Astyanax mexicanus: one gene and its partner. The protein of the gene in region 2 purifies or fractionates together with the protein of the main gene of each other region. This does not show direct contact. Links are inferred from orthologs where the notes say so. Each region holds a gene or a part of one and is shown on either strand. Other genes may lie near its edges. The genes, in order: katnbl1 and katna1.

The links.
Region 1: the proteins of katna1 (region 2) and katnbl1 purify together in Homo sapiens (affinity purification with mass spectrometry; 3 studies listed by BioGRID and IntAct, counting the BioPlex papers as one, with this or other methods). This does not show direct contact. The link is inferred for Astyanax mexicanus from reciprocal best matches to the Homo sapiens genes KATNA1 and KATNBL1.

The regions. Positions count from the first base shown.
Region 1 is NC_064408.1:76,332,482-76,349,944, forward strand, and holds the start of katnbl1 (KATNB1-like protein 1), read right to left. Parts: upstream 6,587-17,463; 5' UTR 6,386-6,586; intron 4,469-6,385; exon of another isoform or gene 4,397-4,468; intron 3,699-4,396; 5' UTR 3,688-3,698; coding exon 3,571-3,687; intron 3,448-3,570; coding exon 3,410-3,447; intron 3,256-3,409; coding exon 2,985-3,255; intron 2,465-2,984; coding exon 2,349-2,464; intron 2,216-2,348; coding exon 2,165-2,215; intron 1,957-2,164; coding exon 1,867-1,956; intron 1,777-1,866; coding exon 1,672-1,776; intron 1,329-1,671; coding exon 1,235-1,328; intron 1,145-1,234; coding exon 1,112-1,144; 3' UTR 1-1,111.
Region 2 is NC_064408.1:47,387,035-47,403,661, reverse strand, and holds the start of katna1 (katanin p60 ATPase-containing subunit A1), read left to right. Parts: upstream 1-9,076; 5' UTR 9,077-9,270; intron 9,271-9,309; exon of another isoform or gene 9,310-9,560; intron 9,561-11,346; 5' UTR 11,347-11,347; coding exon 11,348-11,509; intron 11,510-11,712; coding exon 11,713-11,855; intron 11,856-14,917; coding exon 14,918-15,098; intron 15,099-15,527; coding exon 15,528-15,643; intron 15,644-16,627. UniProt on the Homo sapiens protein: Catalytic subunit of a complex which severs microtubules in an ATP-dependent manner. Microtubule severing may promote rapid reorganization of cellular microtubule arrays and the release of microtubules from the centrosome following nucleation.

The DNA of each region.
Region 1 (17,463 bases), about 29 Mb from region 2:
TCTATTCCATCAAGAATACACCTGCAGCATATAGTTGTACAATCTCCTCAGAAAAAAATATTGTATGTGGTTTCAGACCCTAGCCATTTAACCAGTGTAAAATGTGGTACACATTTCAGCTAAGGTTTATTTGCAGCTACCTTTCTCCATTTCATCTTATGTTCAGTCTGAGAATTGAGATTGAGGTCTGGTGGTTTTATCAGTCAGCCAATCTGCCTTGTTTTCATTATGTATACTGAACCAGTCACTGACAGTGCTTATTGACCACAATAACATTGGTTCTGGGTTCATGCTGAAAAACCTACTATTCTCTAGCTGGAAACAAGCTTTGATGAAGCACTCTGTTAAAGGAAGAGTGGGTCAAATGTACAGGACCTCTAGAGACTGACCTTACACAACTGGTGCTGTTATTAAAGCAAAAAGCCATGTAACCAGGGATAAAGAAGGTAAAGAAAGGAATTTGGCAAATGTTCGGTTTTGGCTTGTAAAAACTCCCTCTCTCAAAATGTAAGGTTTTATAATAATAATAAGCATTGTTGGCAGATTTTGTAAATTTATTTAAAAGCTGATTAAAAGAAAAATCACCATTACTTATGCACGCACACATACAAATATTTCAATCATGAACAGGCAAAAGAGAGTGAAAGACCTAATAACTTAAGACTGCTGGACTTGGAATTCTTCAATCAAAGTCGGTGCACCATATGCTCAGAGACACGATACATTACATCATCACATCCACTTCAGTAGACGCACACCGTGGCACTACCAGTGTGTCAGCTAAAACCTCCGATTGGCACTTCTGTGAGTTGCCTGATTCCATACAGTCTCATGGAGTTGAAAGTGTGCCAGTAATTAATAAAGTCCACTTCAATGTGAAGCAGTCGTTCAAAGTTTGCAGGAAGGGTTTCACCTTTTAAGAAATGTCTCCAGTTTTGATGTAGGGAGTGTCTGAATTGTTTAGTTCATCTATCATCCCATTCACAACAGCTTCCTCCTCTGGAGTAATAGAAATCATCAGTTCATTTGGCTGCAGTTCCTCAAGGAGCAGCCCAGAAAACTGCAGCAAGTGCATGTAGTGGTTGGTTCCTCAGTGTGCTACATTGTTACTTCAGCGTAATTGTGACAGATATGATTCAATAGCCTAGAGAGAAAGAGAGAAGGAAAACATGAATAAGAGACCCAATAATACTTCCATAACATATGCTAAAAATATAAATAAGGTGCACCAAACCTTGGTTATTTCACCCACGGTTCCAGGGACTGAGGCCAATCGACTCTCCTCATCCCATAAGTCAAGCAGCTGCCTTCTCATAGCTTGAATATTTCTGAAATCCAAAATGTTTTGTACAAACTTAAATTTGTAAACACAATAAAACATAGTATTGTACTGTACTGAATTGTATGAGCACTTTTTTAGGAACACTATACAAGTACACATGGTAACACCTTAAGTCTCTCAAGACTTAATTTAACTTAACTTAATTTCTTAATGGCACGGTTTCCACAAGATTTTGGAAAATCATCTTTGAGATTCTGATCTATTATAACATAACTGCATTATGCACTTTTGCCATTAATTTGGCTGACAAGATCACTGCACAAATTGGCACATACATAGTTGTTCCTAATAAACTGCTTTTGTAAAGATTTTGTTAATAGAGATAATACCTGTCACTTGAACAGCCATCTTGCAAGCGTTTGCCATCTGAGTATAGTTCAGGCCACCATTTTTTAATGACAGACTGAACCCAGTGTAAAGCCACAATGAGGTGCCTACATGAAAATAAACAAATTATAACAAAAAAATAATTAAATATGGGTACTTCCACTTGGAACTGATTTTCACAATAAAAAATAACTTACGCTTCAAATTTACTGAGAAGAATTGTCTTCACTTGTGGAAAAAGGTCTACACAACAACCAATGGATATACATTGCTGTTCGTCTTGAAGGCTAAAAAAAAAAAAAAAAAAAAGAAAAATATAGAATACTGTTAATACGATTCAGAAGTAAACTGTTATTCTACTATCTTAACTATTCAATGCAGTGCAGCAAAAATTATTAATTTTATTTCTGAATGCGTAATACTAAATATATACACACAGAGGGCGAGGGGGGGGGGGGGGGGTACTTTATGGTTTTCACAGTTTGTTTAACTTACCTTTTTGTAAGTACAGGTAGACAATCAACAAGGACCCCAGTGTCTTGTATTCTGTACAATAATACATAAAAAAACAACTTACAAATTCTATTGCAAATACACCTAATACAACACAAATGCAAAAATCCTTTTTTTTTTTTTTATCAAAGGTGAAAGATGACTAAACAGTCTGTAAAATCTTTACCTGATCAAGTAAGCCACAAGTTCACTAGCATTTCTTCGCCAAAGAGTTAAAGCAACATTTAATCTGAGATTCCTTCCAAACAGCACATGAGTCACTGCATCATGATCCTTTGATAACTTTAAGGGAAAGAAAAATGTTATTAGCATAGACATCAAAACATTAATGTCTGTCAATAGGATCAAGCCTACTAAAGGAATACTGCAGTAATTTTCAATCTCATTCTTCTGCATCTGTAGTGCACAATAGATCACCAATTTAAATATTTTTCTATTAGGGATGTGATAAGACTCATCTCACAAGATGGGACACGATATTCACACGAGTTCATGAGAATAAGATGAGATGAGATTTTAAAAATCTTTATATACACTTTATTTTAAAACTGAAATGTATAAATGAAAATATTGTATTTCACTGAACGAGATCTTGTCACATCTCTACTTTCTATAATTAAATACTTCTATGTTCCTGAGTAATTAAAAATTGATTTTTATACTTTTAGATAGACAGATTTTAAGCAAGCTATCTGTTATGTTGTGTTTCCAAAAAAAAAAAAAAAAAAAAAAAAAAGTTTAGTACTATAATTTATCACTTGTTGATCTGCAGCTTCCCTTAGTTTATTCAAAAGGAACTCACCTCAGTAAAGCAGTCACTATACTTGGAGCCAGCTCCTGCCATTTTAGAGGCTTCTGTCAAGTTCACAGGGAACCCACAGTTTTCCTTATAGTGAATGCCATCAATGTCCTCGGCACATGTCAGTTCATTTTCTTTGTTTGCCATGTCAGAGGACCTGCCTGCTGAGGGTGCTCTCCGGCGTACACCAGAGCCCACTGCTGAGAGACGTGTCTTCTTGCTCACCACTCGCTTTGCTTTGCCGTAGTTGTGTGCACAACGTCCCACTGGAAATCTGTCAACAAAGCAGAACCCTCTTTAATGCTTAGTGACAATGTTTTCATCATTTTGCTTCTTTCAATTTAGAAACTGGGTTATGGCTCATCAATTCATCCCAACATTGAGATAAACAGATCATCATGCCCTTATTGCCATGGCTCAAAACTCACCTTTCTTTATTTATTTCTTCCTTATTTAAATAATCCACCTAAAAAGAGAGGATAGGCATACTAGTATTCCTCGAGTCGGCAAAAGTAGCTTTCACTGCTTTTAGCCAACATTTCCCGTCATAAAACTTGCAGTTCAGGGATGTCAAAATGTGTGAACTCACCTCCCTCATGTTCTTTCCATCTCCAAGACAGTTTTGGTGTTTGAAAAGATCAAAGGACTGGGCCTGCATGAGCCTGTGGAATTCTGCATCATTCCCAACATGATTTCCAGTGGCCATAATCAAGAATTCTAAAGAACAATGACAAAAATGTACTCAATGCATGGCAACTACAGTTTTTTCATAAGGCATTGTGGTCCAGACATGAAGTAAAAATACCATGAGTTTTATGGCTCAATCTTATGTAAAAAGAATGATTTATACTTTTGTTTCGAGTGAGCACGTTGCCTACACTCTAGTATTTGTAATGTCAAGATGGTGGCACCCGGAGAACTACCTCAAGGTTCTGTGTGTATACCTTGTGTGTACACTGTGTGTCTTTTTTATTTATTTATTTTATTTTATTTATATATTATTTTTAAAACAAAATGCCAGTGCACTTTCAAATTTCTTAGTGCCTCATTTTAAATGTCAGGGCCCTTAGAATTCAACCAATGAAGTGTGAAATGCTATGCCCCCGCTAGCTTTGGAAACCTGTTGGGAGCATCAGCTAAGAGCACTGGAATGCTCTTAGTCAATTTCACACCAGATTTCTTCTTTAAGATGGTTTTAATACTATAAGCATAGATTCATTTCTTATTCACGATGAGAACAACAGCTGTGACTGCTACAAAGAGTTTTTTATTTACTATCACAATCAGTCAGTGATCCGATGTGTGCCTTCTGTTTCAACCTGTAATGTTAATAAGGGTAAAAGGGCTGTAGATTTAAAGGATACCTCTAGTGTAAAATTGACTTTGGGTGTAGTAAAAAATGATAGAGTACTAACCTTTGTTGACTAGCCCATGTTCGTTCTCCCGCAGCTTTCTGAGATCCAGTCATTTTTTAGCAGTTTCCACACCTCATTGGTAGAATCTAAGGAGCTTTGACATTTAAATCGAGGCATTAATAACTTCAAAAGTGCACCAGAAACTTATTAAAAACCCCTGTTTACATCTCACAGCATAACCTAATCTCTGGGCACCCAAGGTTGTAGCTAACGCTACAGGTTCTAAACAGTGGTTTTAATAAGTTTCTTGTGCACTTTTGAAGTTATTAATGCCTCGATATAAATGTCAAAGCTCCTTAGATTCTACCAATGAGGTGTGGAGCTAATCTGAGCCTGGATAACGGTGTAAAAAGCAATTTATCGGGTCAAAATATGCCCCATACAATCCATTCTAAAGCATTTGTGGACAAACTGAATAAAAATTGCTGGATCTCAGGAAGCTGTTGGAGACCGGAGGTGGGCTATTCAACAAAGGTTAGTACTCTTTATCATGTTTTACTACATCAAAAGTCAATTTTACACCCGAGTTATCCTTTAATTAAGTGTTATTAGCACTATCTGCCTTTAATAACGCATTTCAAGCCCAAATTTAATTGGAAAATTGCACTGTAATTTGGTCCAAGTATGACATATAAATTTATATCCATAACCATTTGAGGTAATGTAATTTGTTTTTTAAAGACAATATAATACATTTATTCCAATAACTACAACTTTAAACAATTCTGTATTCCATCAGAGATCCAACACAACAAACTAGGTAGTATCTGACTTATCTTAAGTCACGTACGGGAAGCAGTCCCAATCAGTTTGACAACATGTAGCTAGCGGCAAGGGCCCAGTCTTCCAAAAGCATCTTATTGCATTAAGAAAATCTTAACATGGAGAGAGAGGGCTCAGTGTGAAGCTTGCTCGTCCATCTAAGAATTATCTTAGTGCTAAGAACCTTTTGGGAAAACCAGCCCAGGACTTTACAAACCACTTTATTAATAACGGATTAAGACGTATATGCTAAAGCTAGATACACTTTACTTAAGTTAGGTTAGCTAGCGGTATCTTACATAAGTATTAGCTATAATTAGCCAACACGGATACGCGTCAGGAATATGTAATGTATCTAATTAACGTTAAAATACCCAATTTTGTGAATCAGCTTTGTCAATGTAAGCTAACCATACGTTTTAGCAAGACAGTTAAATCCTGCACGCAGCAATGGCTTAGCTAGGTAGCTAACGCTAGCTAAACTAGCTAGGTTTAAGCAATCCCTAAAGGAGGAGTTTCCAAAACTCAGAAATGGGAAATCCATGCCCCGAATGTATAAATCCACTCCAGGATTTAGTCCCAACTGCATGGCTGGCTGCAAACTGCAGCGAACCCAATCAAGGCAGTTGGAACGAAATTCTGGAGTGGATTCCTCCTGTGTCTAAAACAGAACTAACGTTAGCTCCTCGGCGTGCTAACCCAGCTAAATAACCTAGCGGTAACGTTACATGTTTAGCCGCCATGAGCAAACAGATTTTGTCAGTCTGGACCGAATATAAAACTGCTAATAACAGGTAACCTGAACGTAATTGAGTGAAAACCGGCACTTTAACGTTGTTACGGTAACGTTAGTTAAAACTTGTGGACGGCCGCCCACCGTTCTATTAGCTAACGCTAGCTAGCTAGCCAGTTTAGCTACCTTGCTAATTAGCAGCTATCACGTTCAGAGTCAGCCAAGTAGTTAGTTAGCTAGCTAGCTAGCGTTAGCCAACCTAACCTAGCTACCTAGCTCATACAGACAAAAGACACAGCATTATTTCAGCTAATTCATTTTAATCTACCCCAGCCGAGACACCCACGAAATCAACTAAATAACAACTCTTCACTACTTCTCTATGCAGCTAGCCAACGATAACAGCTAACTAACTAACCTGTGGTACCGTAGTTACACAATAACATATGGCTGCTTAGTCCCTTCAAGTCTGATCATAACGAAGTTCTCCTTACCATGGCATTTTTGTCAGTTAAGCTCAGTTTCTTCAGCTTCCTACGGCAATATAACACGGTGATAATCTGTGGATGAAACACCAGAAAGGATGACAGCTAGATTTTAATGCACATTCACGAACTGGGCGAAGCCAGCACCATTCAAATAAATACAAACTTTGGCTGCTGGGATTGTGGGATTGAGGGGAGTCTCTGGCGGACTCAAAACCAGGAGCAGGCTGGAGTTTGGCGACCTTCACCGGCGAAACGTGGAAGAGCCTGAAATTTTAGCGTCGTCTTTATCTCCATGCACTTGACTAGAAATTCTATTTCTGATGTGACATTTCCTGTTGCTAGATTTATTGTTCGTCTTTATTTGATAATATACAATGGAAAAAGTATTGAAAATCACAAAAAAATAATAAAAGAAAAAAATACTGTAGTAATAATAATAAGGTGAAAAGGTGTCATTTAAGGTTATACAGCTCTGGAAAATATAAACAGACCACTTCAGTTTCTGAATTAGTTTCTCTGATTTGCTATTTATAGGATATATGTTTGAGTAAAACAAACATTGTTGTTTTATTCTATAAACTACGGACAACATTTCTCCCAAATTTCAGATAAAAATATTGGCATTTAGAGCATTTATTTGCAGAAAATGAGGAATGGCTAAAATGAGTTTTAAGAGTCCAGAAATGAATATTTGGTGTATTAACCCTGTTTTTTAATCACAGTTTTCATGCATTTTGGCATGGTCTCCTCCACCAGTCTTACACACTGCTTTTGGATAACTTTATGCCACCCCTGGTGCAAAGCAGTTCAGCTTGGTTTGATGGTTTGTGATCATCCATCTTCCTCTTGAATATATTCCAGAGGTTTTCAATTTCAATTTTTTTGTGGAATAGAGAAAGAACAAGAAACTTGTTGAAGACAAACTTCTTTTCAGTATCATAGACGGTATCATAGACATTTAGATCACTGCTGGTGAATCAGATGACCTTAGAAATGGTTGAATTGGGTGAGTGGAAATGACCACACCTTCACACCTTCACACTTATTCTTATTGTTGTTTTACATATGTATATATATATATATATATATATATATATATATATATATATATATATATATATATATATATAATCTTTATGAACTTGGCCTTGGAGGTGGTTTGTACTTTTATAGGAATCAGGAAGGTCAGAGTGTTCTCATTAACAATGAGTAATGAGGAGAACATGACCCTGAGTGTCAGAGAAGCTTCACTGCTACACTGCTGTTCTGGGACCAGTGTATATGAACTAGGAGACAACAAGCTATCTGAAGTGAGTCAGACACTAAGTGAAGTGTTGGAAACCTCTTCTCAGAAGAGGTATACACAACGTAAAGTTGTACACATGCAGGCCAGATGACCTTACCATTTACACTTATCTTCTGCTTCATCTTCTCAGAGACTTAAGGAAACCTAAGGACTGTTTGTATAAGTCTCAGTCCTCTGTGCCAGAGCTTTGGTCATCCAAAAAAACACTAGCTAGCCAATCAGCATAGGGTATGTTTTTACTAAACGACCAGCTGGTCTTGTCCAAAATAACATAGAATACTCCCAAGTAAATTATCATTTAATTTAAAACTTTCTGTACAGACAGACTTTGTGGACACACTTCATTTGAATGTTTTACTCCAAGGCAAACCTTACACTGAAGCTCTTTATATTATGAATTGTTTTGTTAAATGTCATTGCTCATAAAATCTGACATTGCTAAGAACCTTAAAATATTTAACAGTAAGTGAGCTGACACTGGAATCTGGATGAAAAAGCCTACATTAGGCCTCCTATTCAGACAGCCACAAAAATTCACTCACCACTGTTCAGTGGGGCTGTTTAACCATAGCCTAGACCCTACTGAGAATTAGAATTTGATCCTAATCACAAAGATCCAGCTGCAGAACAAACATGCTAGGCTTTCAAATTGTAGTGGTTTAGATCACTGTTATATAACAGAAACTGACTTTGAATTTAATTTGAATTTTAGACATTTTAGGTCTGTTTGACTTCATGAAAGATTAATAGCAGATTTGATGTTTATGCTAAACATATTTTTTTTATTTTAAATAACAGTATTAAATGATTGACAGTCTGTGGGTAAAGTTTTTAAATGATGCGTAACTGAGGATTTCTATTATCTGTGCTGGTTGGCATTTTGTGGCAGGATGGGAGCAACTCAGTATTTCAACACAGCAAAAAATGAATAAGCAAAAATATAAAATGTATATAAAACTCAAGATGTATATGCTTATATTACACAAAATCTCCCAGTTGAATAAGCACATTTTTATTAATAAGATTTCCTAAAATAAGCAATCTCAAAATCTTTAAAATAAGACAAGTATATTCCCTGTTTTTATATCATACATTTGGACACAGGAATCAGAATAACTTGACTGAATGGCAAGTTCAAATCACTTAAAATCCTTAGTGAGAATAAGGGGCTTTGTCCCACAATAATTTTACATTTACAATGATTGGTAAGAGATAAATTCAATCAAAAAAAAACAACCAAACATATTTAATCTCATGAACATGCAGTATTTTTATGAACATGTAAACTCTCAAGTATTATGGTGGACAGGAACTGACATGAGTATAAATAAATAAATGCACATTTAAATTAATAAATCAATACTCCTATTCATGTAGCTTGCCATCAGCTGCTGGAGCCCTGAGAGAGAACAATTGGTCTTGCTCCCTCCGGGTGGGTAGATGGTGCTCTCTCCCCACATTAGTAAAGGGTAATTTCTGCAGCACAAGGCATCTGTAAACTGATGTACCTGAACCGAGTCGCTGCACTTTTCTCCGAGTGCACTGTGATACTACTCCACAATGCTGCATCAGCAGCAGCTCGAAAAGAGGATAGGTAGCTGACTTCACATGTATCGGAGGAAGCATGTGCTAGTCTTCACCCTCCTGGTGTGCTGGGGCATCACTAGTGATAGGGGGAGTCATAATGAGTGGGTTGGGTAATTAACTGAGCAAAATTGGGGAGAAAATGGGGAAGGATTAGAAATAAAATTGTATTAAAGAAAATTTATACATCAATGAATAAATAAAAAAAATAGATAAATAAATACACAAATAATTGTATAGATAAATACATTAATTAAAACACACATTTTGTCATGAAAAAGTACACACCTAAAACCTAAAATTCGTTATAACAGGAATCTATTTCCATATTTTCATGCATGAACCTTTATTTGGGTCTGTTTCTACATTTCTGCATTTATTTATACTATTTTTGATTGATGTTTTTCTACATTTATTTGTTTCTGCATTTCTTTATTTATTAATTCATTTATTTAGTTCAACATTTTAACATTTATTTATTTATTTTCCCCCCACATTTCATCATTTATTTATTTCTTTATTTCGTTTGTGTGTTTATTAGGTAGGCGGTCCTATCCTCACTCTAAAGCAGGATTAGTCAACTGGTGTTTCAGACAGAAGCAACCGGTTTCTAACTCTACTGTTAGGTGCCGGCCTTTCTCTCAGATTTGTGTGGTTTGTCAGTGTTCTTAGCTGATTCATGTCCATGTGGGGAAAAAAGAGAAATATAATTAATAGTCAAAACATTAAAAATAAAAACATATTGCGAAAGCTTTGAGGACCAAAAGGCACAGCATTCTGAAAATGACCTTTATGTAAATGTTAATAACCCATCGAACCAGGACCTTCTGAGAGGCGAAGCAGCTAGCTAACATGGATGAAGAGATTATGTTACTACAATGTGCTGGACTCACTGAGAGCAGTCATCTCTTCCCCTTAATCCCGTATCCTGCTTTTTGCCCTGGTGATTACGGAGGCCGCTTGCACGCTGCAGTCCTGGGGACAGAGTGAAAAGGCATGTTGCTCTTGGCTGTACTTCCAGACATCAGAGCTTAATATCAGTAATTGTGTTTGCATTACGTAAGACTGTTTGAAGTGATTCTTCTCACAAGTGCTGCTCTGTTCTTTTCGAGGGCAGGCTGCCACTGCTGAGGCTTAGGGCCATAGCTTCTATTTCGCCTTTGACCACAGAGCGGTCTCCTATGATACGCCTCAAAGCCATAGAGGAGTTTAGTCGCACCATAGCGTTTCAGCAATGCCTGAGGATTCAAAGGGAAACAACTATTGCCATTAAAAACAAATGAAAGGGGCACAGTGATTTGTGCATGTGTTTCTCTTCGGCACAAGTTTCATGGACCATTGCTTTTTCCCACTACTGAATACTACTGGGAAATTAAGAATAATTATATCACTGGGACAGACAGTGCAGACAAAAAAAAACAACATTTTCTATCAGTGATTTATTGTGCTTTTACAAATACGCTCTATGACAAAAGTATCAAGGCACCCCTTCTAATCAGTCATTTAAGTTTATTTAAATGACAAGAAGCTCAAATGCACACACAAACATACACACACACATTTTATATAATCCCCATTAGAAATGTCTTGCTGGCAGGGCAGACATTTGCATGCAGTATTTTAAAATGCAAAACACAAGCCCATTTTTATTCATTTAGAATTATGATGACTATTAAAGTTCAAGGTCATAATGCCCAATGTTAAAAGGGATAAAAAGCCCTCAGTATTGATGGACTTCTGTCCAATGAATTTGGGATGTGTCAAAGTGGTGTTTGTGATTCAGAATCACTGATCATCCAACATTAGTACCTGACCTCAGTAATAACATTTTGTGGCTGAACACAAGCAAATACTTACAGCAACTTTCCAACATCTATGTAGGACTTTATCAGATGTATACAGCTGTTATTGCAGCAAAGAGGGAACAATTGATACCCTTGCTTTCAGAAAAAATGTTGGACATGCTGGTGTCTACAGTCTTTTGGACATTAAGACCCAGATTAAGTCTAATCCCAGACTGAGGAGAATTTCCAGTGGAGATTCCCCAATGATACTGCACTTTAGCCCAAAAATACACTTAATCCATGTCTGGGAAACTTGCCCGTCTCTTACTCTTGTGCAGCAGGGCTCTCAATGCCTACAAACTATACTGTTTAAACTTGTTTAGAAAGAGGGGCCATTTAAATAGAGCTTTTAGTACACAGCTGTCAGTTGCACCAGTCAACCAACTGCTTGAATGCAATTCAGAATAGTAAACAGCTTCAAATGCCAGATGTTATTTCTGATGGCTTTTTATAAATGGCCATTTTTGTGTACCATTGCTTGCAGTTTCTTCTTTTGTTCCTCACCATGTTTCTGGAGCAGTGTTTGGAACAATAAGGCAGTGTTGAATGAAATGGATGGAGTTCAGCTCAGGATAAGACAATTTACACAACATCTGTGATGTATTTTGAGGTGTCACTCGGCTAAGTAGGTGGTATTTAGTACAAGCAGCTGATCCTTTGTTGTAGTGTTGCAGTGTTGGGCAATGTGGAAAAAAACACAACATCCTGCTGACACTTTGAAACCTAAGCCCTTTGTTGTGCAGATCACAATATACATGTTTATATTTTCTGAGGTTTGTTAAGACGGATTAGACAAAGAAATAAGAACCGGAAATGTTAGTATTGGATCAGGCCACAATGTTCTTCACCACAAGATGGTAGTGTAAAGCTGTAGAGTCTGTTGTGACCATGAAGGAGCTCTGCAGTTCTGCAGCTCCCACTGTGAGCTTTTACTGAACTTTCACTGAGCTTTTACTGAGCTGTGAGACTGCCAGAGCCTCCCCCACGGATTATAGCTACTGTTTAGGAGCCTGTAGACAGATATAACTGTGCTTAGGTTACACAGTCTTATTCAATGTTCTCTGTATGATCCACTCTCAGGTCATTCAGTACATTTGTTTAAATTAAAATGTATCCTCAAAATCCTCATCCAATATGAAGGGGTTATGAATAAGGATTGCATCAAGAGTTCAACTAATTATATGTTACATAAACATTTTAACCCTAACCACCGACCATATTTGTCTTCAAAAACTTCTGACCTCTATGTTAAAAAGCAGACCTACCTATAATCAGTGCAATTCTGAACCTATGTGAACCTGTTTTTGATATTGTGCCTCAATGAATTTTAACTTCAGGGTAACATATCTATATTAAATAAAACACATATGATTCCTTTACATACATACACCCTTAATTTTGGGGAAATGTATGTTTATTTCTAAAACGCCCTCCACCACACCCAAAGCAAACTCAAATAAATTCACTTTACTAGTGTTTGTGGGTCTGGGTTGCCTCAGCTTTCCTTTCACTACCAGTGCCTCTCCTGAGTGAGGGTTAAGGGTCCAACGAGGCCCAGCTGGGACCGGTTCTGTGTCCTAGCATGGAGTGGACCCACAGTTCCCCCGTCACCTCACGTCACAGTAGCGATCACAGCTTGCTTTAGACTCACTGAGCTAGACTTTCAGTTGTAAAAAGAGGGCAGATTGTTCGAATCCTGTTCATGTAGCTTGCCATCGGCTACCGAAGCCCTGAGAGAGCATAATTGTCCTTGCTCTCTCTCTGGGTGGGTAGATGGCGCTCTCTCTCTTCCCACAGGACTCTAAAGGGTGATGTCTGCAGCACAAGGAGTCTGTGAGCTGATGTATCGGGACAGAGTCGTTGCGCTTTCCTCCGAGCGTGCTGTGATGCTACTCAGCAATCCTGCATCAGCAGAGGTGGTGGCTGAATTCACATGTATCGGAGGAGGCATGAGCTAGTCCTTACCCTCCTGGTGTTGGGGCATCACCCCTATAAGTGGGTTGGATAATTGGTTCACATATGGTTCAGTTAATGTAGATGTAAAACATCCTCAAATCAAACTGACATCCTGCATTTTTAGCTCTTAGTCACTGTTTTGTTAGATATCTACTCAGGAACTCATAATGTTTAAACTTAAAAATAATGTGGTCTCAGCTAATATTAACCAAAGACTGAACCAATCAGTTTACAGTCATATTCTGCTATTTTGTCCCATAGTTAAAATATTTCTTTAAACTATGTGACATCTCTGTGCATTAGTGTAAAATAATCCAGGTCCTTAACAGTAGGAGCCTTAACTTCTTCCTAGTCGAGAGATCAAGTTATACAAAATTATACAATAAAATATATTTATTTTGTATGCCTTGGTCCCACAAATGCAGTTTTTGTCAATAACTTAGGACATGTAATTGACAGGAAATACCAAGGCTATTTGCTTCACCTCGTGTCCTGTCTGGCGAGTAGGTAGTGTTTTGATTTTAGGCAGCCCAGCCATTTGTTTTGGACGTTGCCGCAGAGGGGACTTATGAAGAGTGGTTGTATTCAGAGGAGATCTGTATCTGTCCCCAGGGTCTGGAGTGAGCAGGTCTGGTTCAGGAAGTCTGTGCGCTAAAAACACAAGACTCTTACCTGTAGACCTTAAACTCAACACAGTGAAGGACCTCATTCGCAGGTATGTAACACGTGTTGAGAAGCATCCTGGTGAGTATTAAATGAAGGTACAGTTGACTGGAGAACACTGGAGTAGATCATGTTTCAAAGGTGTAGGGCCACCCAGCTGTGTCTAGGGGTCCATATTCTTCCAGTCAATAAATGCAATATTTTACTTCTATTAAATTCCTGCCGGTTTCGGTAAGAGAGTCCTCAGTTCAAAGTTTCACCTGCAAAGCAGCTACCAGTTTGCCATCAGTTACTGTAATCTGCTCTGCCAACTTGTGTAAATGGTAGACAGTGTGGTCTTGCGGTCGTAGCGTCTGTTCTGGTAGTAAAAAGGTTAATATGGCTGGTGATTTGCTGTCTGGAAGAATTTTTGGCACTTTGACAGTCACACTGCAGGCTGCCTCACACTTAAGTAACCTACACCGTTGTGCCCATTTATTCTTCTGTGTTTGAAGCCTTGTGCTGAGCAACATCACCCTTTGGTGTGATGTGGGGATTTTTTTTGTTTTGCTTTTTGGTCATACTTACTTGCCATACTCAAAAGTGGAACCTTTTGGAAGGTGTGTGTCCCGTTACATCTGGCATCAAACAAACACATAATTTCAGAGAAAGGACAACTCTGGACAACTTGCTGTAATTGATGGAACCATTAATTTTGCTCTCTACCAGAAATTCCTAAAGGATAATGTCCGACAATCTGTTTGTGACCTAAAGTTCAGGCGTACTTGGGTTCTGTAGCAGGACAATGATCTAAAGCACACCAGCAGGTCCACCTTGGAAAGGCTAAAAAACAAACAAACAAATGAAGGTTTTGGAGTGGCCTAGTCAAAATCTGATTGAGATGCTGTGGATGAACTTAAACAGACAGTTCATGCTTGAAAAGCCATTGTGGCTGAATTAAAACAATTCTGTAAAGATGAATGGCCCAAAATGTCTACACAGAGATTACCAGTTACTCATTGCCAGTTATCACAAACGCTTGATTGCAGTTGTTGCTGCCAAAGGGGGCACAACCAACTTTTTTAGGAAGGTTTAGGAAAATATTTTTCATACAGGGCCAGGTTGGTTTGGATAGATTATTTCCCTTACTAAATTAAATTATCATTTAAAAACTGTTTTTATATATTAAATCAGGTTATATTTCTCTGATATTAAAATGTGTTTGTTAATCTGATGTATGTAAGTATGATATGATAAAAATCAAAAACAACAGAAATCTGTAGGGGGCAAATACTTTTTACAGCACTGTAATTTGACCTTAAGACTGTGGTCGTATGCATAACTGACTACCCCTGAAAGGTGTTTGATTGATCAGATTATGAAGTTTTGGTTATGATCCTTGATACACTCTGTATATTGTACACACCTGTAATTTTTTACTAGACAATTATAATGTAATCACTCAGGATGGATGTTAAGGGTCAAGTTTTTTGCTCTGACATAATTATCATATAGGGATAGACCAATAATTTAATGAAATCACAGAACTCTTTTTTATAACTGTGTATGAGAACGTTTTAAAAAATCTCACTTGCTAAAAACCTTCAAGTTGTAATTTAATTAAATGAAAAGCATATGACAGATGTTTGGGCGGATTTTAAGATCGTGCTGTGGAGGTTTACTGCCAAAGAACACTGAATGTGTTATCCATTGTATTTATGAAAAAACAAGTAATTAATTTAATTTTAAGTACAGAACATTTGGTGTTTAATCAAGGAGGCGTCTCTCTTCAGAGTTTGGGCTGTAGAAACTAAAGTGTTAGTCTGTGTCATGTTGACTCGCTAATGGGAATGCTCTCTGACAGAATCGTTTGGAGGCTGGGATTGTGTTCTTTTAGAAAATAAAATAAAGGCTCGCTCAGTGGATGAGCTCAACACTGCAGGCTGCTGCATTTGAATAAATCCATACTGTATATGTTTCCTGACTGAATGCATACATGCTATGAGTGGACAAAGCAACCCTGTGTGATCAAATTAGAAGAGGAAGAGATGGAAAACATGCTGAAGGTAGGGAAACAGTCGCTGGCTGTTTGTGAGCCAGCATTTTGCCGTGTATAGGGTGTGCCAGGGGCAGGGACAGTGCCGGGTCTCCAGACTCTGACGGGCTGCTCATTCAGGTGGTAAGGTGATACCCGAGGTGGCGTACGAAACTTGACTGCAGACTTGCCTCTCATGTGCCAGCACAGGATACAGTGGAGTTGGAGGGGCCATTCATCATCGTGCCCAGGGCTGGACGCATTCCATGGTGGCTGAACACCATGTAGACTTCCATCCCTGTGCTGCACAGAAACTTTACAGGTCACTGACTTGGTTAGTAAACCTACCAGAATAACTGTAATAGACCAGTGCTTCACAGGAGTGTTTATCAAAGGTGCACATGCTCACAACATGCACACATTCAGTGTATGGCTTGTTCACAGTCTTCACTAGGAAATTTCACAGCTTTAGAATGAAGGTTGAATAGTGTTCCTTTCCTCATGTCATAATGTAATTAAAAATAACAGAGCAAAATGGGGTCCAAGATGAGGCTAGTCTTAACCCTCCTAGTGTTAGGGGCATTACTAGTGATAGGAGGAGTTCATATAAATGGGCATTGGATAATTGACCTTCCAAATTGGCCAAAAGGGAGAACAATGGGGTGCAAATGAAAAAACGGGAGGACAAGTGAGTTTTTTTTAACTTTTCGGTCACATGACATTGCGTTCAGTAGCTCCGGTACATCAGCTCACAGACACCTAGTGCTGATCAACATCACCCTTTGTAGAGATGTGGGGAGAGAGGGCCAGCTACCCACCCAGAGAGAGCAAAGCCAATTGTGCTCTCTCAGGGCTCCAGTTGTCAGCTGTAAATTGTAAAATATATATTTGCACTTATGTCCATCCCTCTCGACCGTGACACCAGTAGCTAATGGCAAGCGACATGAATGAGATTGGAACCAGGCTGAATTATTCTTTTAAGAGCTTTTTTCATAAAGTATGATTTGAAAATGTTTTTTTTAATAATAATTTTGTCATTTCAATTATTCACTGAATTATTTTGATTAAAATATCAAGCTATTTTTCGGATAATTCCCTGTAAACTGGGTCATCTTGTGATAACCCTGCCTCTTTAAGAAGGCAACCTTTCATCAATAACATCGTAACCTTCATACTGCTTTATTTCCAAGGGACTGAAGATACAAGCTGAATGCTCACCAATTAATAGTATTATTTTACATAATATATTTTACTATACTGTTTCCATAGTTAGTTGGGGTAAAGCTTAATATGAAGTCATTAAAATTATTTTAGAATATCAAAATGCCAGTATTAGTGCAAAAAACTGTCTAATTACTAAGTGAAATTAAAAAGTAATTAAGCTGAGATAATAGGATTTGTGTGCAGTCTGAAGTCTAATAAATATGATAAACGTTATTTTTTTAATATACAGCTTTGGAATAATATTGTCATTTTGAGCATTTATTTGCAGAAAATGAGAAATGGCTGAAATAAAAAGATGCAGAGCTTTCAGGCCTCAAATAATGGGATGAAACAAGTTCATATTCATAAAGTTTTAGGAGTTCAGAAATCAATATTTGCTGGAATAACCCTGGTTTTTAATCACAGTTTTCATGCATCTTGGCATGTTCTCCTCCACCAGTCTTACACACTGCTTTTGGATATCTTTATGCCACTCCTTTAATTTGGTAAAATC
Region 2 (16,627 bases):
TTAGTGATGTCGGTAAATTCTATTTAGTGCTATTTTAGTCAGTTTTTATTGACAAAATGGATGTTGAGTGGTTGATGAATTCTTAAATGCTGGCTTTCATTCATTGTCTCATAAAGAAGTGTTCACTACTAAAGCCTGCGTTTTCAAAGCAAACCCAGTTGCCTGAAGAGGAGCCTGTTCAGATCAAACTAAATTCTTTTACTTGATTCAAATTCAGTCAAATTCATTTTATAGTTTTTATAGATTCAAATTTGTAACAGACGTTTTTACATTTAACTTACATAGTGTTAGTTCCTTTTTCAGTGATGAACTCAAACGTGAGTTTTTACATCTTTTTTTTTTTCTTTTGACACATTTGTCCACTGATTCGTCCTGCAGTTTCCTAGACACTGTTCCAACCAAGTATTGAAACATCTCTTTTATAAATCGTCGATAAACAGAAACTTGCGCTTCGGCTGCGCGCAGTGCCCTAGTGCCTGTCCGATGAAAGTAATTTAAAAACCAGGACATTTTCTCACTTTTTAAAAAAAAAAAACCCGGGACAGGACGTGAAATACGAACATGTCCTGGGAAATACGGACGTTTGGTCACCCTACAACTAACTATCTGCCCTCGCTGAGGCGAACTTTGTGATGCAGCAGTTACTTCAGAATCACAAAGCTAGAACCATAGAGTCTAAAATACTTAATGTTAAAAGGCTTAATGTGTGTGTTTTTCCACTGAAACCTATTATATAACCACAAATCCTAACAAGGATTAATGTGCTAAAACAACGAACCAGAAAGACTAAACATCTCTAATTTATTTCACAGCATAATAAAGACTGTAAATATTAAAACGTGGTACAGTGTTTAAAGCTGGTTCTGGGGTAATTCTGTGCTGTTGGGTTAGTGATTTTCTGCTGTGGCACTTTTAGCTCTCCTCAGTGAGGGCAGTTAGTTCATTAGTTGGATCAGCTGACTGTAACATGCTGTAAACATTCGTCCGGAGTTCACTGGTGTTGTGCCGAAGAGAGTCCCCTGCCGATCTCTGCGGCTGTGAGGTCAGTTCACTCCGCTGTAGCATTAGCTAAAATACAAAAATACAGGAACAGTCATGTACAAAATAATAGAACAATTAGAGCCTTAACAAACTGAACTCTATCCTAATAACAGTTAAACATGAAAAATAAGACTCGGTACCTGAGAATGACAATTTTTTTTTTCCTTAACAAAGATATATTATTAACTTTATCTGAGAGAAAGATGCTCCTTAAGGTACCAAAACTATTAACATATTTGAGTCTAGACAAAACAACTGTTATTTTTATATTTTATAAGTTTTTCTTTAAGAAGATGAGAATGTCCTCATTCTTTTGAAAGGGCTGCTCTTTCAGCAGTCACAATGTCCCCGGCGTGTGCTGCGCCATTTGCTAGCGCGCGTGCTTGCGTAGCTTAGAGGAAGGTATCGTCGATCATCTTTTTGATGCTCGAGACCATGACATCATTTCGATCGATTTCCATAAAATATCGAAATCGTGACACCCCTATAGACTACAATTGTCATTGTCGTCTAATCATTACGTTGTAACAGAACCGCATTACACAACATACTGGGGACAAAAGGAACTTGGTCTGTGTCTCCAAAAGTGCCCAAACACAACAGATTACATATTTATTAACTAAATATCAGCACTCTCCACGCTTAAACAACATGTGGACATTTAAATGCCTTTTAAATCTCATGTTTAGCTGTTTCTCTGTTGTTTTTAGAGATGGAGGACATGGCAGAAATAATCGTTGACTAATCGAAAAAATGATCATCAGATTAGTCGACTACCAAAAAAAATGTTGGTTGCAGCCCTACATTACAATAGTACTTATAAAAGTGAAATAAAGTAAATTTTATAAAAAAAAAATAAAAAAAACTGTGAATTGTAAAAGTGGTCTCTCTCACACACACAAACACACACAGTCTCAGTCACTCACCTCAGTCACCACGTAGCCTGTCACTCATCTCGTCCACAGTGTCTGCCTAAACATCTAGCCAGATAGCTCATCATTGAACAATTTGTCTTTAATACGTTTAAAAATAAAGAAAACTTAAACAAATAAAATAAAACAAAACCCTGGAAAAAAAAAAAAAAAAAACGTCGAATAACAGTTCCGGCTAACTGCTGCTCTTATAATAACATTTAACAACAGGCAAAAAACTGATTTATGTAATTTATGTAAAAATTAAGCTATTTTGAGAAGTGACTGCCTATTTAAAAAAGCAACAGAAGTTGTTTATTTGTTTTTAAAAAAAAAATAATTTAATTTAAAAAAAAAAATGTATTTGTTTTTTATTTGAGAAGACTCCAGGAGCAGAATGTGTATAATAACTGCTTATGACTTCATTTTAGATTTTCCTTCTGAAAAAATAAATAAATAAATAAATAATAAAAATCAATAAGTTATTAAACACTGGGCTTACTTTCACATGTGAATCAGATTTACTAGCTAATCAACTTTAAAAGCAGACAGTCTTTTCTCTTCTAATTAAAAAAGAGTCATTTCTAAATTAGAATGGAATTTTTTAGTTATTTAGCTTTAAAAATCCATATTAAACTTTAGAATATCTTGATTTTCTCTTGCAGCCGTAAAGAGGCCTCACTTATCACATCAATCTTGGACACTAAGCAGCCTCACATTAGCAGCCTAAAGAAAACAGAAAAATATCTTTTTTTTTTAAACAGCACAAAAAAAACACTATAAAAAACTAAATACATGTATTTAGCTTTACACAATAGAACTAGTAACTCCAGCTGGTGTGTTTCAATAAATACATAAATAAACAAATAAATAAATAGGATGATGTGTGACCCTAATAGTAAATATTTAACATATGTAGTTAAAGAACAAAGTTGGAGCAGTTGCCTACTGGTGCCTCTGTGCTATTTATGCACTCAACATAACCAAGAGCCTCCAGCACCATTTAAAGTGGAACGGGAAAATTTTAAGAAGGATAATTCATTAATAATGATAAAAACTAAAAGAGAGGTTGGCTTTCAACTCACCAGAAAATGTTTGACCAGAAAATGTCACCCACAGCAAAAGAACAATAGAGACATAACAGTACATCTGTAAATGTTAGACACAAGACAAAGTAGAATTTAACAGCTATTCACCTGGGTACTAATCTCAGTGTTGAAAAAAATAATAATAAATAATAATAATAATACATTGCAGTGTTTGTGGTGTAGGGTAATTTACCACAGCACGACTTAGATAAAACTCGGATGTGAGAAATCTCAGAACATGAAATGATGACCAATGAGTCAGAGCTTAGAATTTAAAATATATTAAAGTTTACTTGAAAAATAGTTTCAGCATTACAGATATATAAAAGGAACAAAAATTACTAGATATATATTAGTAAAGAGTAAAAGTAAATCAACGAGTCAAAAACCTCGATAGATCAACACATTCACAACCCAGAGAGAGAGAGAGAGAGAGAGAGAAAAAAAGAAAGAGAGAGAAAGAGAGAGAAAAGAAACTAAAGCCAGTCGAGGGCCAGAGAGAACTCCTCAGACTTCATCCAAGCAGTTATACATTTATGCAAATGACGTGATTGGACAGAACTTATCAATATGATTACGTCAGCAGAGTCCAGTTAACAGTTTGTTGTCCAGTTTTAATGACGTGATCCGCTCCAGCCTGTCTGAGCAACAAGTTCTTATCATGATGTTGTTCAGCACTGTCTTTCATGAACACAGCAGACAGTCCTTAAGTGTCCTAAAGTCTGTGAGAAGATGAAACAGAGGAAAAGAGTGGATGGAAAGATCTTCTGGCCTGTGTGCGACTTTACGTCGTGTAGAACAGGCATGCGCTGGCTATCTGAGGAGAGGTTCCCAGCACTTCACTCAGAGAGCTTGTTGTCTCCTAGTTCATATGCACTGGTCCCAGAACAGCAGTGAAGCTTCTCAGCCACTCAGGGTCACGTTCTCCTCACAGCTCTCATTGTTGATGAAAACACTCTGACCTTCCTGATTCCTGAAAAAGTAAAAACAACCTCCAAAGCCTTGTGTCATTGTGACAGTTAAAAAGAGAGCAAAGATCATAAGGTTATTAAGTGAATTATAAAGTGAACAGTAAAAATAATAACTGTTAATATAAATCAACATTTAATTAAACATTTAAGAATAAGAGTGTGAAGGTGTGGTTATCTCTAATCACACCCTTCAGTGGACACCCCTTGTAATAGTGTATAAAGCCCCAGTATTAAGCTGTGGAGCAGTGGAACTGTGTTCTCTGGAATGATGGTGTTCATCCAATACTTTTAAGATGATGTGAGATACGATGGACTGGTTATCATCCAACAAGATTGTTTAAGAGTCGTAAAGAGGAAAATTCTAGCTTTAAGCTAATGCTACAGTGGCGTGAACTGACCTCACAGCTGCAGAGATCGGAAGGGGACTCTCTTCGGCACAACACCAGTGAACTCCGGACGAATGTTTACAGCATGTTACAGTCAGCTGATCCAACTAATGAACTAACTGCCCTCACTGAGGAGAGCTAAAAGTGCCACAGCAGAAAATCACTAACCCAACAGCACAGAATTACCCCAGAACCAGCTTTAAACACTGTACCACGTTTTAATATTTACAGTCTTTATTATGCTGTGAAATAAATTAGAGATGTTTAGTCTTTCTGGTTCGTTGTTTTAGCACATTAATCCTTGTTAGGATTTGTGGTTATATAATAGGTTTCAGTGGAAAAACACACACATTAAGCCTTTTAACATTAAGTATTTTAGACTCTATGGTTCTAGCTTTGTGATTCTGAAGTAACTGCTGCATCACAAAGCTCCCCTCAGCGAGGGCAGATAGTTAGTTGATTAGTTGATTATTTGGGTCAGGTGTGTTGTAATTAGAATAAACCAATGACCGTAATTAAATATTAAATCTGCAAGGAAGCGCTGCTTATTATCTGCCTTTTAAAGCTCTAACACAGACTACACTGCTTAACATTACACTGCTCACTATTACTGAGAGAGTTTTCACCTGTTTAAATACTTTAATGATCCTGTGTAAGAAAAAATATTAATCCAAAACGCAATCTGGCCGGAGTTAGCTGGTGTAGTGCAGAATTGAGCCTGCAGCCATTGTCTGCCGCTGTGCTGTGACGTTACGCATTAGCTTAAAGCTAGCATTTTTCTAATTATTACCCCTAAACAATCTCAAAATTCAGAGGATCCAGTGTTGTTCAAGATGTACATATATACAGAATAAAACGTACAGGGTTCTGAACATATTTATTTACCACAGTGTTTAAAATATTCATTTTTTTCATTGACCTGAACCGCTTAGACACTGAAACCCCAACCTGGCGCAGACTACAAAATGACAACACGACTTCAGTGGTCTATTCTTGTATCACTTCTTGTATTGTGTCTAAAAGAGAGGGAGAGGGAGAGAAAGGAGCTCCCCTTGTGTGCATATTCATGAAGCACATACAAAACCAAGATTTATATTTTATAGATAGATAATCCCTATATTATATTATATATAATATAGACAGATAATCCCAAATTGGTCCGGGGGTACCTCCCTGAAATTAATTTTTGCAACTTGGAATGCCCAATCTGTGACGTTTAGTCATTAGAATGGACGTCCACAAAGATTTGGGCGAGGGTACATTACAATAGGTCTGTAACGATTAGTCGATATAATCGACAATATCGATTATTTAAATTTGTAGACTACAAATGTCATTGTCGTCTAATCATTCATTTGTAACAGAACCGCATCACACAACGTACTGGGGACAAAAGGAACTTGGTCCGTGTTTCCAAAAGTGCCCAAACACAACAGATTACATATTTATTAACTAAATATCAGTACTCTCCACGCTTAAACAACATGTGGACATTTAAATGCCTTTTAAATCTCATGTTTAGCTGTTTCTCTGTTGTTTTTAGAGATGGAGGACATGGCAGAAATAATCGTTGACTAATTGACTAATCGATAAAATGGTCATCAGATTAGTCGACTACCAAAATAATCATTGGTTGCAGCCCTACATTACAGTAGCACTTATAAAAGTGAAATAAAGTAAATTCTTAATTTTTATAAAAAAAAACAAAACAAAAAAAAACTGTAAATTGTAAAAGTGGTCACACACACACACACACACACAGTCTTAGTCACTCACCTCGTCCACAGTGTCTGCCTAAACATCTAGCCACATAGCTTATCATTGAACAATTTGTCTAGAATACATTTAAAAATAAAGAAAACTTAAAAAAAAATAAAACAAAACCCTGAATAAAAAAAAATAAAAAAAATTAAGTAGAATAACAGTTTCGGCTAACTGCTGCTCTTATAATAACATTTAACATGGCAAAAAAAATATTTTTTTTTTTACGTAAAAATTAAGTTATTTTGAGATGTGACTGCCTATTTAAAAAAAAAGCAACAGAAGTTGTTTATTTGTTAGAGTTCATGTGTAACATTTCTAACATATTTTAAGGTGTTTCACTCATTTGTTTTGTCCCACAACGTTAATCCTTTACAGCTTCAAAAACATATATTATGCAAATTAGGCGATGGCGTCATTTAGCGACTTCCTGCAACTAGGACAGCCAATAGCTACTTTCCTTACTGAGGAGTTGGCAACACTAACAGCATATTACACACAGCTGATCCAACTAATGAACTAACTGCCCTCTCTGAGGAGAACTGAACAGAAAATCACTAACCCTTAGTGATTAGATTTTTTTTTAATTTATGCATACATAAGACCTAAAACATCATAAGATTTTCACTTATGTCCCAAAATTAGACAAAGAGAACTTAGTTAAAAACACATTTAACTTAATCCCATATAACCCATTGTGTTAAACTGTGTTAATGCTGCTACACCCAGGGGCAGATTTTACCACCACGCAATTGCGTGGGGCCCCCGGGATCACTGGGGTGGGGGGTTGACATATCTTGACATCAAAATTTCACACACTCCTAAAACTGGTGGAAAGCCTTCCCAGGAGAGTTGAAGCCTAAAACATCAACAGCAGAGCTGAAACATCATATTAAACCCTATGGATTAATAATGGGTTGTCACACAAGTTCATATGAGCGAAAATGTAGGTGAGTACAAATACACTTTGTATGAAATGTATGTGTGAGAGCGGTGTTCAGGAGTCTGAGGCTGCATCCAGAACCCCCCAAACAGTTGCTCTTTTGTACTTCCGTTCCCCCTCCTCTCCTCTGTGACCCAGAAACTGATTTCATGATGCCATCTTGCCACCTGTCTAAATACCAGAGGAGAAGAAAGAAGCCAATAACACCACAGTATGCTACCCAGGAAATGTTTTATAGATTTTGGGTTGGCTTTAATTTCAATTCAATTCAGTTTTATTTATATAGAAGTTGTCACAAAGCAGCTTCACAGAGAAAAAAACAGGTCCACACCTCTTATGAGCGAGCACCACAGAAATGCCAAAAGAATTGTGGTGACAACAGTGGCAAGGAAAAACTCTCTTACATCTTTGAGGCCTCGCCCACAAAGCACCTGAGCACAGATTTTTAAATCAAATTAATTACTTATTAATTCATTTATTTTTTGACATATGTATGTGTCGAAATAATACTTAAAAACACTTGTGTAATTGTTGAACATGTATCATCATCTATGAACAAATAAAAAAATAGATAAAATGAAATAAAATTTAAGAAATAAAAAAATAAGGCTTTCTCTTTTATTTGATTGGCAAATATTTCACATAATTTCAGAAATATAGAATTTTCTCTGCAATGAACTGGAGTTTACACATCCACATTTAACAGGATGACCATATATCATATGCTGAGATTGGCTGGGCAGTGTTAGGGGAGTTGAAAATGAGCGCTGTGATTGGCTCAGTTAATAAGTAGTCAACATTCTATTAAAAGGCATCAGCTGTCCCATTTTCTCAATTACTGCTACTTCTCTCCATTCTTCCTCCTCCTCCTCTATTCCTTCACCTTCTTTCGGGGTAGGAGAGGAGGAGTAACAAAAGTTACTGGACGCAGCCCCAGTGTAGAGACTTTTATTTTGAAGATAATTCAAACAGCAGCTGCTGTACTCACCCTGCTGGTGTAGATGTGAACTGGGGCGGATTTAGAGCTGGTTTATAGGGAGCCTGTCCACTTCCCATCTCTACCGCTGTATCAGAACATTACTAAGAACCGCTAGAGGGAGCCCGCGAGTGAGGCCACACTGGATGGGGTTGAATGGAGCTAAAGGGATAAAACTAATTAAAATAGTAAAACTACTTTCTCTGAATATTCCTTTAATTGTTAAAAGTATAATAATGTATTTTCCTAAAAATAAATGAAAAGAAACATACCAACATATTTTACTTTTTTCAGTAAACAGGTTTTAGGTAGTTTAGGCGCTCATTTTTGCTATTGTGCGCTGAGTGGTTGGTGAACTGATACTGGATTTACAGTCAGATCTCTGAGTTTAAAAGCTTAATAACTGGAGTTTTACCCTTTTAACAGGCCAGGATTTTTGTCAATTGTCTGCCTGACATTACACCTCTAAATCTTGGGGATTTCTATTTAAGCATTACATAAAAAGCTTTCATGTTTGATAAGAAACATTACGGAAAAGCAGAATTGTAATTGTAATAGAAAATATAAAAAATATATTTAAGCAAACCTGCTAATGTCAAAATACAATTAATAAAATCATAAAATTGGCTGAAATCCTGAAGAGAGAAAACAGCAGCTTCTGCAAGTGCCTTGTACGAGATTTCAAAGCCCTCAAATTTTCAGAGTGTAAAAAAAACTTATTTTACTGCAGAAAATAAGGGATTTCTATCATCTCCACCTGTAGCCCGTATACAGGTCAAGGCACGTTAATATGTTAAACGCTTTAAAGAATATCTCTGCAGTACTGAAACATTTGATAATGTTCTGTGTTGGGGAAATGAGAACATTTTTCATGATACAAATACTTAAACATTTATAAACTCTGATTTTGCTCCGTTTCTCCATATAAACCCATTAATTTTGGTCTCACTCGTGAGCGCCCCCTGGTGGCTCTACAATTCCAGCAGAGACTCTTAGCTCAGTGTGTTTTCTCCTCTCCAGAGATTCTCTCCCGGGTTTACCTTCCTCCGAAACTCTGCCAACAAGTGTCTGTAGATTTATTCTGAACTTCAGTGACTAATCTCTCTCTCTCAGATGCTGAAGTTCGTGCTGGAGGTGGATTGTTCGCAGTGGTTTGTTTTTTTACAGGCTGCTTCTGTTCAGCGCTGAGACAAGTGAGTTATTTCAGCTCGATCATACTGAACTAAACTTTATATAACTTACATGATTTTGATAACCTGCTCAACCAACGATTGACTGCTCCAGTCTGAGTGGAGCCGGTGTGTTACAACTAGTGTAGCTAATAGAGAACTATAGCGCTGTAAGAGAGTTAAACGGGGAGTTTTATCAGTTTTTGGGTGTTTGTCGTGGATTTTCTTGAATTTGTGAAGTTAATCTTAAATTACTGGGCTATTTTACCGTCAGTACAGACTTAGACAGTAACTTTCTCTTCGTTAACCGAAAGGTAAGCGAGCGAATTGTATTGTACCGTGTTTTTGTGTTTGGTTTATTTGTATTGACTCTCTTGCAGTCTGGCTGTAACTAGGTTGACTAACCTACGTGTTTTTGTCGCATTAGCATTAACTTATGTTGGCAGCCATAATAGTTTGCTATGCTAAAGGTTATGCTAATGTAGCTAGTTAACTAGGTTAACTTAGCTACTAATTAACTTAACTAAATTAAGTTAGTTAACCTTGTTGACTAGCTCAGTTAATTAGTAAACGCTAGCTACATCAGTTTAACAGTCTTCAAACTATTAGCTAAGCTAACTATCGCTATGCTAGTTAGTTAGGTTAGCTAGCTAGTTGATTAGCTTAGCTGGGTTTGTTAGGTAAGTTTAGCTAACGCTACCAGCCGTAGAGTCTGTTGGAAAAAAAAATCACATAACATTAGTTAACTTAGATAATTACCCATAGTTAGCATTAGTTAATCTTATTTAAGCTTTTTTTATTGATATTTATCGTGTTTGCCAATTAGTAAACTTACTAGCTAGCGGTAGCTAACCTAATCTAAATAAAAAGTAAAAAAAAAAAAAACCTCAGTTTTATAAAAATAAGAGTTAATACACACTAACCCAAAATAGGCCATCGAGACGTGTGTCACAGACCCTTCTACAGCTGTGTACTTAAATTAGTGGTGTTTTTTTTTATTCAATGTCCAATTATCCAGTTAATCACAATAGAATTATGTGATTAATCACACTTTTTCTTCCTTAAGACTATGCGTTTGATAATGGGTACCTTAATTACCTTAAATGTGTATAAAATAATCAGTGATAGAAACACATTTGTAGTATTGGTGCCAAGCTCTTAAAAAAAATAATCCCAACAATATTCTTTGACTAAATCATGGATAAAATCATGATGGTACTTAAGATACTGTATTTTTTGGAAAGGGTTAGTAATAATGGTGTAGTGTGGTTTACACTTTTTCTTTACATTATTATATAATTCTCAGGTTAGTTTTGATGCCCTTTAACTAGAATATTATAATGTGTCGAGTTACAGAGTTTTTTAACAGCTTGAAAAGAGAAAATGTGTGTAAGCATACACTTCAGTAAAAATAAAAGGCAATATACCTTCTGAACTTAACAGTACGCGTTGCTGTTTAATGTCTTATGCGTCACCAGGCTCTGTCAATATTGTCACAAGATTAAATTGTGTTTAAAAAATAAAAAATAATAATTCAAGATTTGAACCACTCAAAAAAAAAAACATAAAAACAGTCCACTTCGAGATTAAAGTCGTAATATTACAGGATTAAAGATCAAGAGTTGCCCTAACACGCTGTCGTACAGGTTAATTACATCAGGTAACTCGTTAATGTTGACAGCCTTAGTGTAAAATTTCTTACAGCACTTTATTTGTCATTTTAACTGATGAAATCTTAGTGAAACATACCAGAAATCTTAAGAGGATCACAGGACAGTTTTCACTTTAAAAGTGTACAACTACTAAAGTACGATGTTAAAATGCCAGTTTTAAAATTGGTGTTGTCAGGATTTTTATTTAAAAATATTTAGTCATGTGCCCACAATAGGAAAAAATCATGAATGGGTTGCCTGCTGGATTTATCTGATCAGTAATCATAAATGGGTCTGAGTTCTTATGGTTTAAGTTGTGAAATGTTCAGCAGTTACAGAGAGACTAGCCTTACTGACCTATTTGTCTTTTTTATTTGATTTGAGTTTCTTTCAGTACTAGCTATTATGTTCTGGTTATGGGAGGTAATTTCACTGTGTCCTCTTCCAGAATGAGTCTTGTAGAGATCAGCGAGAATGTAAAGCTGGCCAGAGAGTACGCCCTGCTGGGTAACTACAGCTCGGCTGTGGTTTGCTACGAGGGAGTGCTGGAGCAGATCAAGAAATACTTATATTCAGTGCGAGACTCTTCTTTACAGCAGAAATGGCAACAGGTAAGACTACAGCCTCCCGGGACACTGGTATGGTAACCCCTGGAGTTACTGGAACTGTCATTACTAATTGCCCAGAGGCAAGAGTTGCTGTTTGAACTGCCATTGTGTTCCACATTCATGCAAACATTAGTATAAAGGTGAGGCAAGTGGTTTGATGTGTAAATAGTCTGATTGTTTTGAGCTTGTTTGTGTCCTGTGTTCAGGTATGGCAAGAGATCAGCGAGGAAAGAAAGCACGTGAGGGACATCATGAGGACACTGGAGAGTTTCCAGTTGGAGGCTGCCCCGTCAAAGCCGAGCAGTTTCAGCCAAGAGGATGATTTTATGCCTGCCCAGGTGGAACATAGGTATACCCATAGAATGACAGGTTATTTTTCATCATTTTGAAAACTAAGGACAGCTATGTGATGGATATATCACTAATGCTGAGTGAAGTCATGCCATTTTATCTATGACTTTAAGTCAGTGACATGGCTTATTTACAGGGGTGATAGCGTTCCGGCGCAGCGTGGCTCTATAAAAAAAATATATATATAAATAAAATAAATAAATAAATAAGTAGAGCCGGTTCAGGTATTAAGTCCCGCCTCTCAGTAGAAACAGCCAATCAGCTTGCTGTTTTTGCGGCGCGCGGAGGAAGCCCCTCCCTTGCTGTGAGATTTAGCAGCGGGATCGGACGCAGCAGCTTCAGCTGATTTAAAAACAGATCTGGATATACGGAGATTTTTCTCAAAAAAAGATAACGGTAGGCTAAACACGTAAACTGTGATGATATGTTTCTGATAGCTGGTTAAAAATACACTTCTTGTATCAGCACACAGATTAAACCCACTGTGATTAATAAACTGCAGCTGTGTTAGTGAGTTAGCTTGAGTTTGGAATTAGCTAGATAGGGAGTCAAGGTTTTAGAAAATAAATAAACTATATATGTAATGTTCAACTTGCCCTGTACCTGATCAGCTAATCACTATTTCACATATTTCACTGTCGTTATTAGTTTAGGATTACAGGAGAAAATGAATATAGCTAATTAGCTAGAAGCCAGATGTAGTGGATAGTCAGAATTTAGTACAGTACTTTATGTTTGTAGTTTAAAGCAGTTTCTTAACCCTGATCACTGAACTAAAATTGTGTTTTCCACCTGATCTTCATTTCACCTAGATTTTCACCTGATCTTGATTTTCACCTAGAGTGACAGCTGTCACAGTGAAAATTAAGTGGAGTTATTCACCTCCTTTTTTACACCTCCTGAACGGATCAGTGTTTTTGGGGCCGATTCCGATCGCCGGTCGTCTTTCACCACGATGGGCCGAGCGCCGATACCGATCTTGGGCGGGGCCAAATGCCACATTAATGCCACACAGGTGCCTGGCAAACCTGGCTGGTACAGATTCCCCTAATTACATCCACACCAAAGCAAACACTGGTAATTTACGCTGCTAGTAAATAAACATGAATGTTACTGACCAAAATAAATGCTTTTTAGGAGAGATATAAGTTCTGTGTAAATATTTATAAGACAATACCTGACAAAATCAGTTTTAATGACGTTAAATAAACATCACTGTGACAGCGCTAGTCGCAGTTTCACCGCAGTAAAGGACGAGGAGGTGAATCACTTATCTAAGCAGCCTTTACTGATTTCTGCTCCAATAACCCTTTCAATAACCTCCAATAGCCTTTAATAGTCTTCAGTAGCCTTCAACAGTCTAACCTTGCAGCCGTGGTGTGTCCACTAAACTCCGTAGTTATAAACATCATGAGGTTAGCAGCGCGCTAACTGACCTGTTTATAATGTAATCCGAGCAGTGCCTCCGTGACAACTGCTGCTGTTAGCTGCTTTGGCTGATAGGTGAACTGTAGAGAGCTGTATTATCCGTTTTTAAAACCTTTTCCTACACAGATGAACTTAAAAAAAACGTGTAAAAAAAAACGCTCCAGACTGGCTGAGCTGAGCTCTGTAGCCCGTGGCTGGGCTGTAGCTGTGACTGAGTGAAGAGAGCGGGGCTTGTGCTGCTGCTGCAGCTCCCACTAGTGGTTGGATGAGTAACTGCAGCTTCTTGTAAGTGAGCAGTTTCACCGGTTTCACCAGTTTCATCCACACACAGCTCTGATAAACTGCTTAACCCTAAACTCCTGAATCAGATCGGCTAAAATCATAAGAATATCTGCAGAACAGTGTTAATATGCAGAAGAATATACAGAACAGTGTTAATATGCAGAAGAATATACAGAACAGTGTTAATATGCAGTAGAATATACAGAACAGTGTTAATATGCAGTAGAATATGGAGAACAGTGTTAATATGCAGTAGAAAATGGAGAACAGTGTTAATATGCAGTAGAATATACAGAACAGTGTTAATATGCAGTAGAATATGCAGAACAGTGTTAATATGCAGTAGAATATGCAGAACAGTGTTAATATGCAGTAGAATATGCAGGATCAGGGTTGAGAAACACTGCTGTAATGTGACTTCTGTTCATTTGTAGTTCACAGTAAGACCACATGTCCTGACGTTTATAAAAATCTCTATGAAACATAAAGTTACATTATTTTACACAAGGACACCATCTTAAGAAGAGCTCTCAGTAGAAAAAAAATTAAAAGTGCACTTTTTTTTTTACAAGAGTGGAGAAAATGTAAATATGAAAATGAAAACGTTATCTAAAATGTGTCACTTGACAATAAGGTTATACACAGACTATTAAATGTTTGAATAATGTGTCAACATTTATGCCTATGTTACGTCACACATGCAGTCTGTTGTCCCTCCCCAACAACCCCCCTAACCAGAGCATCTGAAGTTGGCACTACAAAACATTGCAACAATGCAATAAATCATTATATGACATTATATGAGTGACACGTCAAGAATCTTCAAGCCTATGTTTATATACTGGAAATACATATTATTAATGATAGTGATTTTTATTACATAAAGGGCTATTGGTGCAGTAAATGGCTTTGCCTTCTTTTGTTTTGATACTCTGAGCTTTGATACTTTGCTTTAACTGTCTTTGCAGAGATTAGACCTCCAGCAGAACTGTCATGTGAAGTGGATTAGTATCCACGTGGCTGAACTTGGCCTACACACAGGCAGCTGTGCTTTGTTTTTTCCTTTTCTTCCATTTAAAGTTATTTAAAAGTAATTTGACTGTAATCTAGTTTGAATATGCTTCATTGTGAATACAGGCACATCAGTTTAGACCTGATTAAATCAGTTCCGAATTCCATTAAAATATGATTTTGGCCAGAAATCACAAATTTTCCTCTTATATTTCCTGAAGTTGATCCACAATGACAAATGTGCTGTCTGAAGTTTGCTTTGAGACAAAGGCAAATGTAACTTCAGAGATTGTGTACTTCAGGTTAGTAGTGGGTGAAATTGTGTGTGATCGTGTTCAGGCCATCTGCGGTTCGGCGGGCTCCAGTGCCATACAGAGAAGGTAAAGCACATGGCAACCGAATAAGTGTTGGACCTCGCTCTCAGCACCGACAGTCACCACGTGTCCAAAACGGAGACCGAGCAAAACCTCCAAAGGGCAAGGAGAAGAAAGACAATGGGTCCAAACCCAAAGAAGACAAGGTAAGAATAGGCATGAATGAATGGATTTGGGGGAAAAGACCCTGTATTAACTAAAGTGTAAGTCTGTTGTGGTCTACTCTTAAAGGGCCTGCAAATACACATTGTAACCGTACACTTCATTCTGTCTGAGCAAAATGCCTTTGGCTGTATTGACTTGACCTGTGATACCGGTTTCCCCTATTTGTGCAAATAAAGGCAGATGAGAGCTAAAACAAAGATTTAATACTGAAACCCAGGCTAAAGTTGTTCTATTTAATGTTAGTAGTAATTTGGTAAATAAAATATACCTATTTGTGGGTTTGTTAAAGTAACAGTTTTGAAGTTTGTTCAAGTGTCTCTGCAGAAATAACTTAATAAATTGAACTAAAGCAAGCATTTTCCCTAGATAACAGTGCACTAACCTACTTTTACCTACTCCTACACCTGCAGAGCAAACTGGTTGCCTCAGAGACAGAAGTAAAAAAGTTTGACAGAGGCGGAGAAGACAAAGATCTGATCGAGACATTGGAGCGAGACATCATCTCCCAGAACCCAAACGTAAAGTGGTGTGTTCATCTCCTTCAATTTATGGCAATTTTAAATCTAGAGTTTGCTTAAAGAATGTCACACATACATGCTTGCATCAGCTCTAAAAACACATTTAAAAAATCTTAATGACTGCAGAGCTTAAGTAGTTTCCATTTCCAGGGAGTAGCAAGGCTTTTGCTGTGTGGTCAGTAATAGGACTGCACATCGGATACTGTAAATAAACTGAAATTGCAATATATAGCTCTGGAAAAAATAAAAGACTACTTGTAAATGTTGAATGATTGAAAACCTTTGGAATGTAATCAAGGGAAAGATGGATGATCACAAGCCAGCAAACCAAGCTGAAGTGCTTGAGTTTTGCACCAGGAGTGGCATAAAGTTATTTAAAACAGTGTGTAAGACTGGTGGAGAACATGTTAAGATGCATGAAAACTGTGATTAAAACCAGGTTTATTGCACCAAATATTGATTTCTGAACTCTTAAAACTTTATGAATATGAACTTTTTTTTGCATTATTTGAGGTCTGAAAGCTCTGCCATTTTTTATTTTATGCTAATAAATGCTCTAAATTGGAATTTGGAAGAAATGTCCGTAGAAGTGGTTTCGTAATTAATTGTAAAATAATAATATTCAGAATATTTTTTTCTATCGATCGATCGATCGATCGATCGATCGATTGATGTAGATAACTGGTTAGATAGCATAGTGATGGATAAGCAGTTGACTTGGATGCTTACTCAGCTGTTGGGAAGGGGATGTTGTGCTACCCTGTGTAGTTGGTTCAGTATTGTTGTTATTGCAGCTCCTACAAATAAGCACAGAAGAGCAGTTAGGATAGGAACTAATTTAGACCGTGTTTTAGTTCATAATCATAGTTTGTGCCATTATCTTTGGGAAAAGGAACATTTGATGTCTTTCTTTGACAGTTTATTCTCACAGTGTTGCTATCTTATTCCAACCGTCTGAATACTGGCTGTAAGCCTTGCAGCTATGCTGCTCC